Linked DNA regions of Saccharomyces cerevisiae S288C. The protein of the gene in region 1 interacts with the protein of each later gene in a biochemical or structural test. Each region holds a gene or a part of one and is shown in the gene's direction. Other genes may lie near its edges.

What was found.
Region 2: the proteins of EMP24 (region 1) and SEC24 form a complex in vitro, tested with the Saccharomyces cerevisiae proteins (one study listed by BioGRID).

Annotation. Positions count from the first base shown.
Region 1 is NC_001139.9:121,602-125,558, reverse strand, and holds EMP24 (Emp24p), read left to right. Parts: upstream 1-2,253; coding exon 2,254-2,865; downstream 2,866-3,957. Other genes in the region: MDS3 (Mds3p), read right to left, coding at 1-861; YIP4 (Yip4p), read right to left, coding at 1,261-1,968. UniProt on the Saccharomyces cerevisiae protein: Constituent of COPII-coated endoplasmic reticulum-derived transport vesicles. Required for efficient transport of a subset of secretory proteins to the Golgi.
Region 2 is NC_001141.2:156,365-161,752, reverse strand, and holds SEC24 (COPII subunit SEC24), read left to right. Parts: upstream 1-1,587; coding exon 1,588-4,368; downstream 4,369-5,388. Other genes in the region: YIL108W (putative metalloendopeptidase), read right to left, coding at 1-866; HPM1 (protein-histidine N-methyltransferase), read right to left, coding at 4,575-5,388. UniProt on the Saccharomyces cerevisiae protein: Component of the coat protein complex II (COPII) which promotes the formation of transport vesicles from the endoplasmic reticulum (ER).

The DNA of each region.
Region 1 (3,957 bases):
ATCCTTTGATAATGCTAATGGTATGCCATTGACATTTGTAGTGATTTCCATCGGTTGTTTGGGTATGGTTTCGGATTGCCAGCAATTCTGTGAGATGTTATAGATGTCTATTTTCTTGACCGGCTGATCCATGTTATTAAGACCTCCGACAATTATTAATTTCGTGTCTCTATTATCGTTATTTTCGTTCTTTACATGCATGGTATGGTTGAACCTTCTCGCTATTTGAGGGTCATCACTCAAAAGCGACCACTTCTTCGTGTTTAAATCCAGTTTCCACAACTCATTGGTAGCAATCAACTCATATCCGCTCTGAGGAGACACTGTGAGACCACCAAATATATATAAACAGCCATCTAAATAACATAAGGAATGGAATAGCCTCTCCTTGAGCGGAGATTCAAGGGATTTACCTTTCTTAATGTCCGTTCTAATCTCGTTTGTGTCATTATCTGCTTTGGCGCTAGAACTCTCTGCCTTTAATAATTCCTCTGTCCTTTGGTCAAAGGAGGTCTTGACTCTGTACCAGGTTCTAGACATCAAGTCTAAGAAAAACGTCTCCTTACTTATCCACTCGTTTAAATTCCTAAAAGAACTACCGTTGTTTTTTTCCTTTGCAAAAAAGAGAATAAGCTCCTTTTGTAATTGCATAGAATTTACAACTGGCAGGTTCAACGGGATGGTTAGACCACCATGTACAAATATATTAGACCTTGTTAGCGTCACCGCTGAACCTGTTCTATAGTCCAGCGTTAACCTTTTCCTGGCGCATTCATCAAACTCGTTGGAATCGGAAGTCAGTGGTAATGGCGGAAGCTTCAAAGGGTAGCAGAAGCAAGTGGATGGTTGTAATAAAGGCATACTACGCTAAAGCAGGTGCAGATTGTTACTTGTCCTTTGGTTTGCACGCGCGCTATGTTATCTTATATATATAGTAAAACAGAAAAGTCTCTAAAGCGCCTTCACCATGTAATGTTTGCAAGTGTGGCTATAGGCACAGGAAGGAGAAGAGTTCTCAAACAATTGTGGTAAACGGACGCTGTGAACTTGAAATAGACTTTGCCAGACTCTGCGCTACCAATTCATCAGAAAGCCTAATCTTGCTTTGAACTTCTCTTACACTCCACGGAGTCTGCCTTAGCCACACGCCAGCCCCTGTGAGCGTCCTCTTTTTTTTTTTTTTCAGAACTTTCTGCCGTGGCTCGCGAGATAGGCAATTCTATGTCCATGATATTGGGTTTTATACATATGTAACTAGTGTTATAAAATAGTTGACAACCAGGCCATGCCAAAAAGACAGAGTGCCAGAGGGTATATCTCGATAATGGTCTTGCTCTTGGTAACCCACGAAACGGCGGCCACAGACCACATCAGGCACAGCGCCATGACCACCAGTTTCACGAGCGACAGGACCCTCACAATCCAGCGATTTTGCTTTCCAATATGGTAGGCCAATGGAAGTAGTATCTGCGAGACTAAGGCATTCAGCACTTGTGGGAATAAGCAATACCCGGAAATGGAGATGTACGAAATCAGCGACACCCTCTGGTGTGGCTTGGTGAGTCTCAGATGCAATGCCATCACCAGCAAAATGAACCAACTAGACACAAATAGGCTCGAGAACAGCGACCGCGCATGCGATACAAATAGAGAATACAATATGATAAACGCAAGGGGCGCCCACAGGTCGCAATTGGCTGAAATGTCGTTATCAGCCGCCCCTATCCCGTCATCAGAGGGGCTAAAGAATGAGGGGAAATGCGGGTATACCACTTGTTTCAGTCTGGAATTAATCTCCACCACATCTCGCTTTAGTGTTTGCAGCACAGTCTCGTCGAGCGTCCCTCTGCTGCCTGAATTCTGCATAGTTCCGCCTATGTTGTCAGCAACACCCCCGGAAGCAGCCAAAGGTGCATCTGGTTCTATGAAGTCGGGCTCAATCGTAGTGTCTTCTCTTCCGTATGACATTTTGCCTGCCCTCTTGTGACATATCTTTCTACAAATATTGCTAAAACAGCTTCATTTGCTATTGTAAAAGGGGACGAAAAATCACTGTGAGAAAATCATCACTCCGGGTAATCCAATTTTCATGAAAAAAGACGCGAGGAAAGTCAGAAAAGTCGTGCAAAACAGCCTGAGAGATCGGGTCGCTTAAACATTTTGACACGAAACTTATAATGAAATAAAAAGCTATACTTGGTGAAACTGCAATCTTAATAGTATCCCTCCGCACAAAAATACACACGCATAAGGATGGCCTCATTTGCTACTAAGTTTGTCATTGCTTGCTTCCTGTTCTTCTCGGCGTCCGCCCATAATGTCCTTCTTCCAGCTTATGGCCGTAGATGCTTCTTCGAAGACTTGAGTAAGGGTGACGAGCTCTCCATTTCGTTCCAGTTCGGTGATAGAAACCCTCAATCCAGTAGCCAGCTGACTGGTGACTTTATCATCTACGGGCCGGAAAGACATGAAGTTTTGAAAACGGTTAGGGACACGTCGCACGGTGAAATCACATTGTCTGCTCCATACAAGGGACATTTCCAATACTGTTTCTTGAACGAGAACACCGGTATCGAGACAAAAGACGTGACTTTCAACATTCATGGGGTGGTATATGTGGATTTGGACGACCCAAACACCAATACATTGGATAGTGCTGTCAGAAAGTTGTCCAAATTAACCAGGGAAGTCAAGGACGAACAAAGTTATATTGTTATTAGAGAAAGGACGCATAGAAATACTGCAGAGTCGACCAACGATCGTGTTAAATGGTGGTCCATCTTCCAATTGGGCGTCGTTATTGCAAACTCTCTTTTCCAGATATACTACTTGAGAAGATTCTTTGAGGTCACATCTCTAGTCTAAGTAAAGCAGGAAAATGTAGTTCATATCTATTTACTTTTGCCTACATACGATTACATACACGATTGGATAACCTGAAGTCGCGAATAATTCTCGGTTTCATACTTTTTACCTTGATCCTTCCACTGTTTTTCCCTGTGCCAATTACATGTAAATAAATATATACATATATATGGTCCAGGCGCGCCATAAAACAAATACAGGTTGTAGCGAATCAAAAAATGGGAAATACATACGAAAAACTTGAAAGAAACAAGTACCACAGGACATGCTGTGGTCCGTTTTTCCCCAGAGCACTTTTATGTGGGACTCTTAGAAGGGAAATAGCTCTGTTCATATAGAACAAAAAAAGAATAGCCCTGTAGGGGGCTCGAACCCCTAACCTTATGATTAAGAGTCATACGCGCTACCGATTGCGCCAACAAGGCTAATTCGTTGGAAAACGTCCCCATTTCAGGGAAACATAGCTCACGATGTTAATAACTGATTTGTAGCCGAGCCACATTGTATCAACGCGTGATTAACACATGTTTGGAATATACTGTTGGAACAAGAATCAACTAGTGCTCATATTAGCAATATATTACTATATACGGTGTAAGAAGATGTCCACTATAGTCAGCCATATTCTTGATCTTACGAAAGGGAACTGTGATGTAAAATTTGTGACACTGTGACACCTTCTAGTGAAATATAGGGCATTACCAAAGTCACTAATGAGTAAAAATACCAATTACTGTCCGTAGTTCGTCAGATTAGAATCCACTATATTTTCTTTGATTGGGAGTTAACGCTGCATACTTGTCTTGGGTACTGCGTTAACCATAAATCACATAAGCGTCATTCATTATCGTACCTCTGGGTAAGTGTTTTTCAGGAGTTTTTATATATAATATGCTGGCCCCCAAGGCGGATGAGGACTGTATACGGTTTTGACGTTAAAGTGTTATATGAATCGCAGTCGCATACACTAGTGGACCCCTAGTTCCGCGATACGTAGTTGACCCTCAGTACAGAGATTCCCACGATTAACGGGTGTACTGCTCCTGACTAATGTAATTTTGAGTTCACCTGTTGATGTGGTGCTGATACTGG
Region 2 (5,388 bases), on another chromosome or scaffold:
CTTGTCTCATCAGTAAAATAAGGCACCAATTGCTCGAGACAAGTAGGCCATGAGTAAAGCCCGTGCGACCCAAAAATGGCGAGCTTAATGCTGTCGTCACCCCCACCCAATGCGGCGTGGCCTCTAATCAACTTACCATCCCAGTGGGTGTCTAGAAACATACAAGCTGCCTGAACAGGCTTTTCGTTATTGGTGAAGGGTCCGCCGTAACTTTTAAGGGCGTCCATGGCTATCCCAAAAAGGGCGCCGGTGTTTTTCCCTTTGGAATTCTGTTGAGCTATGTCAGGGTCCTGGATTTCCTTCACCGTCTTTTCCGAACGAACTACATGTATTTTGATGGTGTTTCTCATAGCAGGCCGTTCGAACAGCGTGTCCCAGGTAAATTCTTCAACAAAGGGAAACGTCCTATTTCCCATACTGTTTCTCAGCATTTGCTCGTTCGTGTACGCTTGCATGAGTCTGGCCCCAAGTCTTAGCTTCTTGATTGCCAATTCGAGGCCATTCCCGCCCTCTCTGTCCTTCTGTTCTCGAGGAGAGTCAAACTGTAAAGGCGAATCCTTGGCCAAGATCAGACACAGGTGTACGGGAGGGTTCTGCGTCAGTGGTGTGTAGTAACATACGATTGTCCTAGCGGTGTTAGTGTCTGTAACAAAGGTCAACTTGTTCTCACCAGGAGTCAATATCACAGTGGCCTTGAAGAACTGATTATGTATGGGGTAAGTAATTGGAGGCAATTGTGGATGCTGCACTTGAACGGTCTTCGCACCATTTTGCTTATTGCATTTTCCGTGCACGATAAGACAAGGAGAAACGATTTGCTCGTTCTCTCTCAGGTTGAATAGATCAATATCCTTCGAGCCTACCATTTATTTCTTTCTCTTCGAACTACTACTTCCTTTTTTTTTTTTTACTGTATACGATCTAATAATAAGAAGAAAGAAGAACTCCTTTTAAATTTCCTTTTTCTCTCTATTTTCCGGCGACCGCTACTCTTAAACGTCCAAACCAAAAAAAGATCGAGAGAATTGACTGCGCCAAGACACATGAACTTCTGAAACCTAAGAAAGCCTGACTGTTCCTAAGGTGATCTATATTTATATACAACATCATGCTCTTAAAAGAATAGGTTACGTAATTAATTGATGGAAAATTTCAGCAAATTTCCGCCTAGAATGCCGGGTAACAAAAAAGTAATTAGTGCTATGTTTGGGTGATAGAATCGTGTCACAAATATACATAGCACTGACAAGTGTGCATTTTGCACTAACCACTGCTATAAGTTTTTCAGCTTAATGCAGTCTATTCAGGCACTATCTGGGCTTGAAAAACAGTCTTGGACATGGCCACTGGAGCAGATTTGTTAACGCTTAGCTGTTCTCTTTTTTTTTTTCTTGTTTTTTCCATTTACGGCAGAAGAAAATGAAAACTGGAAGAACGAAAACGAAGAAAAACAAAACTATGTAAGGAGGATGGTACATCAGGAAACAGGCCAAAAATAGCACTACAAAAAGGTTTTATCTGGCACTCAGGTCCATTTTTGCCGCATTGAAACAGACATAAATATATAAGTCTGAGACCATCTGCAAAATGTCTCATCACAAGAAACGTGTTTACCCACAAGCTCAGCTCCAGTATGGACAAAATGCCACCCCTCTACAACAGCCAGCACAATTCATGCCTCCGCAGGATCCTGCTGCAGCTGGAATGAGCTATGGTCAGATGGGAATGCCGCCACAGGGTGCAGTCCCTTCCATGGGGCAGCAACAATTCCTAACCCCTGCTCAAGAACAGTTACACCAGCAAATTGATCAGGCCACCACTTCCATGAACGATATGCATCTGCACAACGTACCGCTAGTCGATCCTAACGCTTATATGCAGCCACAGGTTCCCGTGCAAATGGGCACACCTTTGCAGCAACAGCAACAACCAATGGCAGCGCCTGCGTATGGCCAACCTAGCGCCGCAATGGGCCAAAACATGAGGCCCATGAACCAGTTGTATCCAATCGATCTGTTGACGGAATTGCCTCCTCCAATTACCGATCTGACCTTGCCTCCCCCACCGTTGGTTATTCCTCCAGAAAGGATGTTAGTTCCTTCTGAATTGTCCAATGCGTCTCCAGATTATATCAGGTCGACCTTGAACGCCGTTCCTAAGAACAGCTCCCTGCTGAAGAAGTCTAAACTTCCATTTGGGCTTGTTATCAGACCATACCAACACTTGTACGACGATATCGACCCGCCTCCATTGAATGAAGATGGACTTATTGTCCGTTGTCGTCGTTGTCGTTCTTACATGAACCCTTTTGTCACTTTTATCGAGCAAGGCAGAAGATGGAGATGTAACTTTTGTCGTCTGGCCAATGACGTTCCTATGCAAATGGACCAGAGCGATCCAAACGACCCAAAGAGTAGATACGACAGAAATGAAATCAAATGTGCTGTGATGGAATATATGGCCCCAAAGGAATATACTCTAAGACAACCACCTCCAGCCACTTACTGTTTCCTGATCGATGTCTCCCAGTCCTCTATCAAGAGTGGGTTACTGGCCACTACCATCAACACCCTTTTGCAAAATCTTGATTCCATTCCAAACCATGATGAAAGAACCAGAATTTCCATCTTATGTGTAGACAACGCCATTCACTACTTTAAAATCCCATTGGATTCTGAAAACAATGAAGAGTCCGCCGATCAAATCAACATGATGGATATTGCCGACCTGGAAGAGCCTTTCTTGCCCAGACCAAACTCTATGGTTGTGTCCTTAAAGGCCTGCAGACAAAACATTGAAACTTTATTGACCAAGATTCCTCAAATCTTCCAATCTAATTTAATCACAAATTTCGCACTGGGCCCCGCTTTGAAATCCGCTTATCATTTAATTGGTGGCGTTGGTGGTAAAATAATTGTTGTGTCAGGTACTTTGCCCAACTTAGGCATAGGAAAATTACAAAGGAGAAATGAAAGTGGTGTTGTTAATACATCCAAGGAAACTGCACAACTACTTTCCTGTCAAGACTCATTTTATAAGAATTTCACCATCGATTGTTCTAAAGTACAGATTACTGTCGATTTATTTTTGGCTTCTGAAGATTATATGGACGTTGCATCACTATCGAATTTGAGTCGTTTCACTGCTGGTCAAACGCATTTCTATCCTGGTTTTTCAGGCAAGAACCCAAATGATATTGTCAAATTTTCCACTGAGTTTGCCAAGCACATTTCCATGGATTTCTGTATGGAAACCGTAATGAGAGCCCGTGGTTCCACAGGTTTGAGAATGAGTAGATTCTATGGTCACTTCTTCAATAGATCATCTGATTTATGTGCATTTTCCACCATGCCAAGAGATCAATCATACTTATTCGAAGTTAACGTTGATGAATCCATTATGGCTGACTATTGTTATGTTCAAGTAGCGGTACTTTTATCTCTGAATAATAGTCAACGTAGAATAAGAATTATAACATTGGCTATGCCAACCACGGAATCGTTGGCAGAAGTCTACGCATCTGCTGACCAATTAGCTATAGCGTCGTTTTACAACTCGAAGGCGGTGGAGAAAGCATTGAATTCCAGTTTGGACGATGCAAGAGTATTGATCAACAAATCCGTGCAAGATATCTTAGCCACGTACAAGAAGGAAATAGTGGTGTCCAACACTGCAGGGGGGGCCCCATTGAGGTTATGTGCCAATTTGAGAATGTTCCCATTGTTAATGCATTCTTTAACTAAGCATATGGCATTTAGATCTGGTATTGTCCCAAGTGACCATCGCGCCTCGGCCTTGAACAACTTAGAATCATTACCTTTGAAATATCTAATCAAAAACATCTACCCTGATGTTTATTCGCTGCATGATATGGCTGATGAGGCTGGGTTACCAGTGCAAACTGAAGATGGTGAAGCTACTGGCACAATTGTTTTGCCTCAACCAATCAATGCTACCTCTTCGTTGTTTGAAAGATACGGTCTATACTTGATAGATAATGGTAACGAATTGTTTTTGTGGATGGGTGGTGACGCTGTACCAGCGCTAGTATTCGATGTGTTTGGAACACAGGATATCTTTGACATTCCAATTGGCAAACAGGAAATACCTGTTGTTGAAAATTCTGAATTCAATCAAAGAGTAAGAAACATTATCAACCAATTGAGAAACCATGATGATGTCATCACTTACCAATCATTGTATATTGTTAGGGGTGCCTCTTTGAGCGAGCCCGTTAACCATGCATCTGCTAGGGAAGTTGCAACGCTAAGACTATGGGCTTCTAGCACCTTAGTGGAGGATAAGATTTTGAATAACGAAAGTTACAGAGAATTCTTACAAATCATGAAAGCCAGAATTAGCAAATAAGGCTAAAAGGGAATCAATGATAAAAAGAAACTGTATATTTTTGTTGGTTGCATTTTTGCTTTCCAATTATATTATGTATATTGAACAGTTACTTTAATTTTTACTTCTATATTTCTTTTCTATTTTCATCCATGTTATAAATAAAAGATACAGTAAAAGACTTATGGATTAACTTAAGGAAATGAAGTTGAAACAAATTATACTAACTATCGGATAGCTTTATTTGTTTCAATGCATATAATCGACCTTTTTAAGCCAGAGTTAACTTTAAACCTTTCAGAATGAATTGGTAGATGTTCGGAGTTTATTTTGTCGTCCAAATAAGCTTCAAATTCAGTGATGCTACCACCGACTCCAAAATAAATATCCTTTGCGGCTACGTAAGTTTTGACATCGGTTTGTGGTAAATTGTGTATGTCAAGTATTGTTTCCGCTATAACGGGCAAATTGTCAGGTTGATAAATTGTTTCTGAGGATAATGAAAGGACTTTTTGGCTACCTGAGAGTACTTCATGGATCAAATTACTAAATTTACGTCCCCACGATCCTGATATAAGAGTGACGCTGATATTCCTGCTTTGTACATCGTCGTAAAAGGCAGCTAACAGCTTTGAGGTAAGAAGCAGTTCCTCATTATTTATTGGAATATCTTCACATTCGTCTTTCTGTAAGGCGTACCATTGTTCCTTTGTCAAAACCGTTTTAGCCCATGTTATAACCAAATTCGGTATGGTAACTAATCTTAATACACTGGCATTATAGTCAGTCAAAACAAACTTTAAACCTTTACTTCTATCATTCCGTAGAAGAGCAGATCTGAAAAGAAACTCTGAGGGTAGTGCCGTACCACAGCCTATTTCGACAACCGCGTCGATATCGTTGCTTATTCTATCAACGTTCTCTGACAACAAATCAACTAAATCATAAGAGCACTCCCATGATTTCAACCCACCTTCATAGATGTTCTTTCTCAAATCTTCAGAAGTATCACCTAGTAAAATGTCCAGTTCCGTGGAGTTG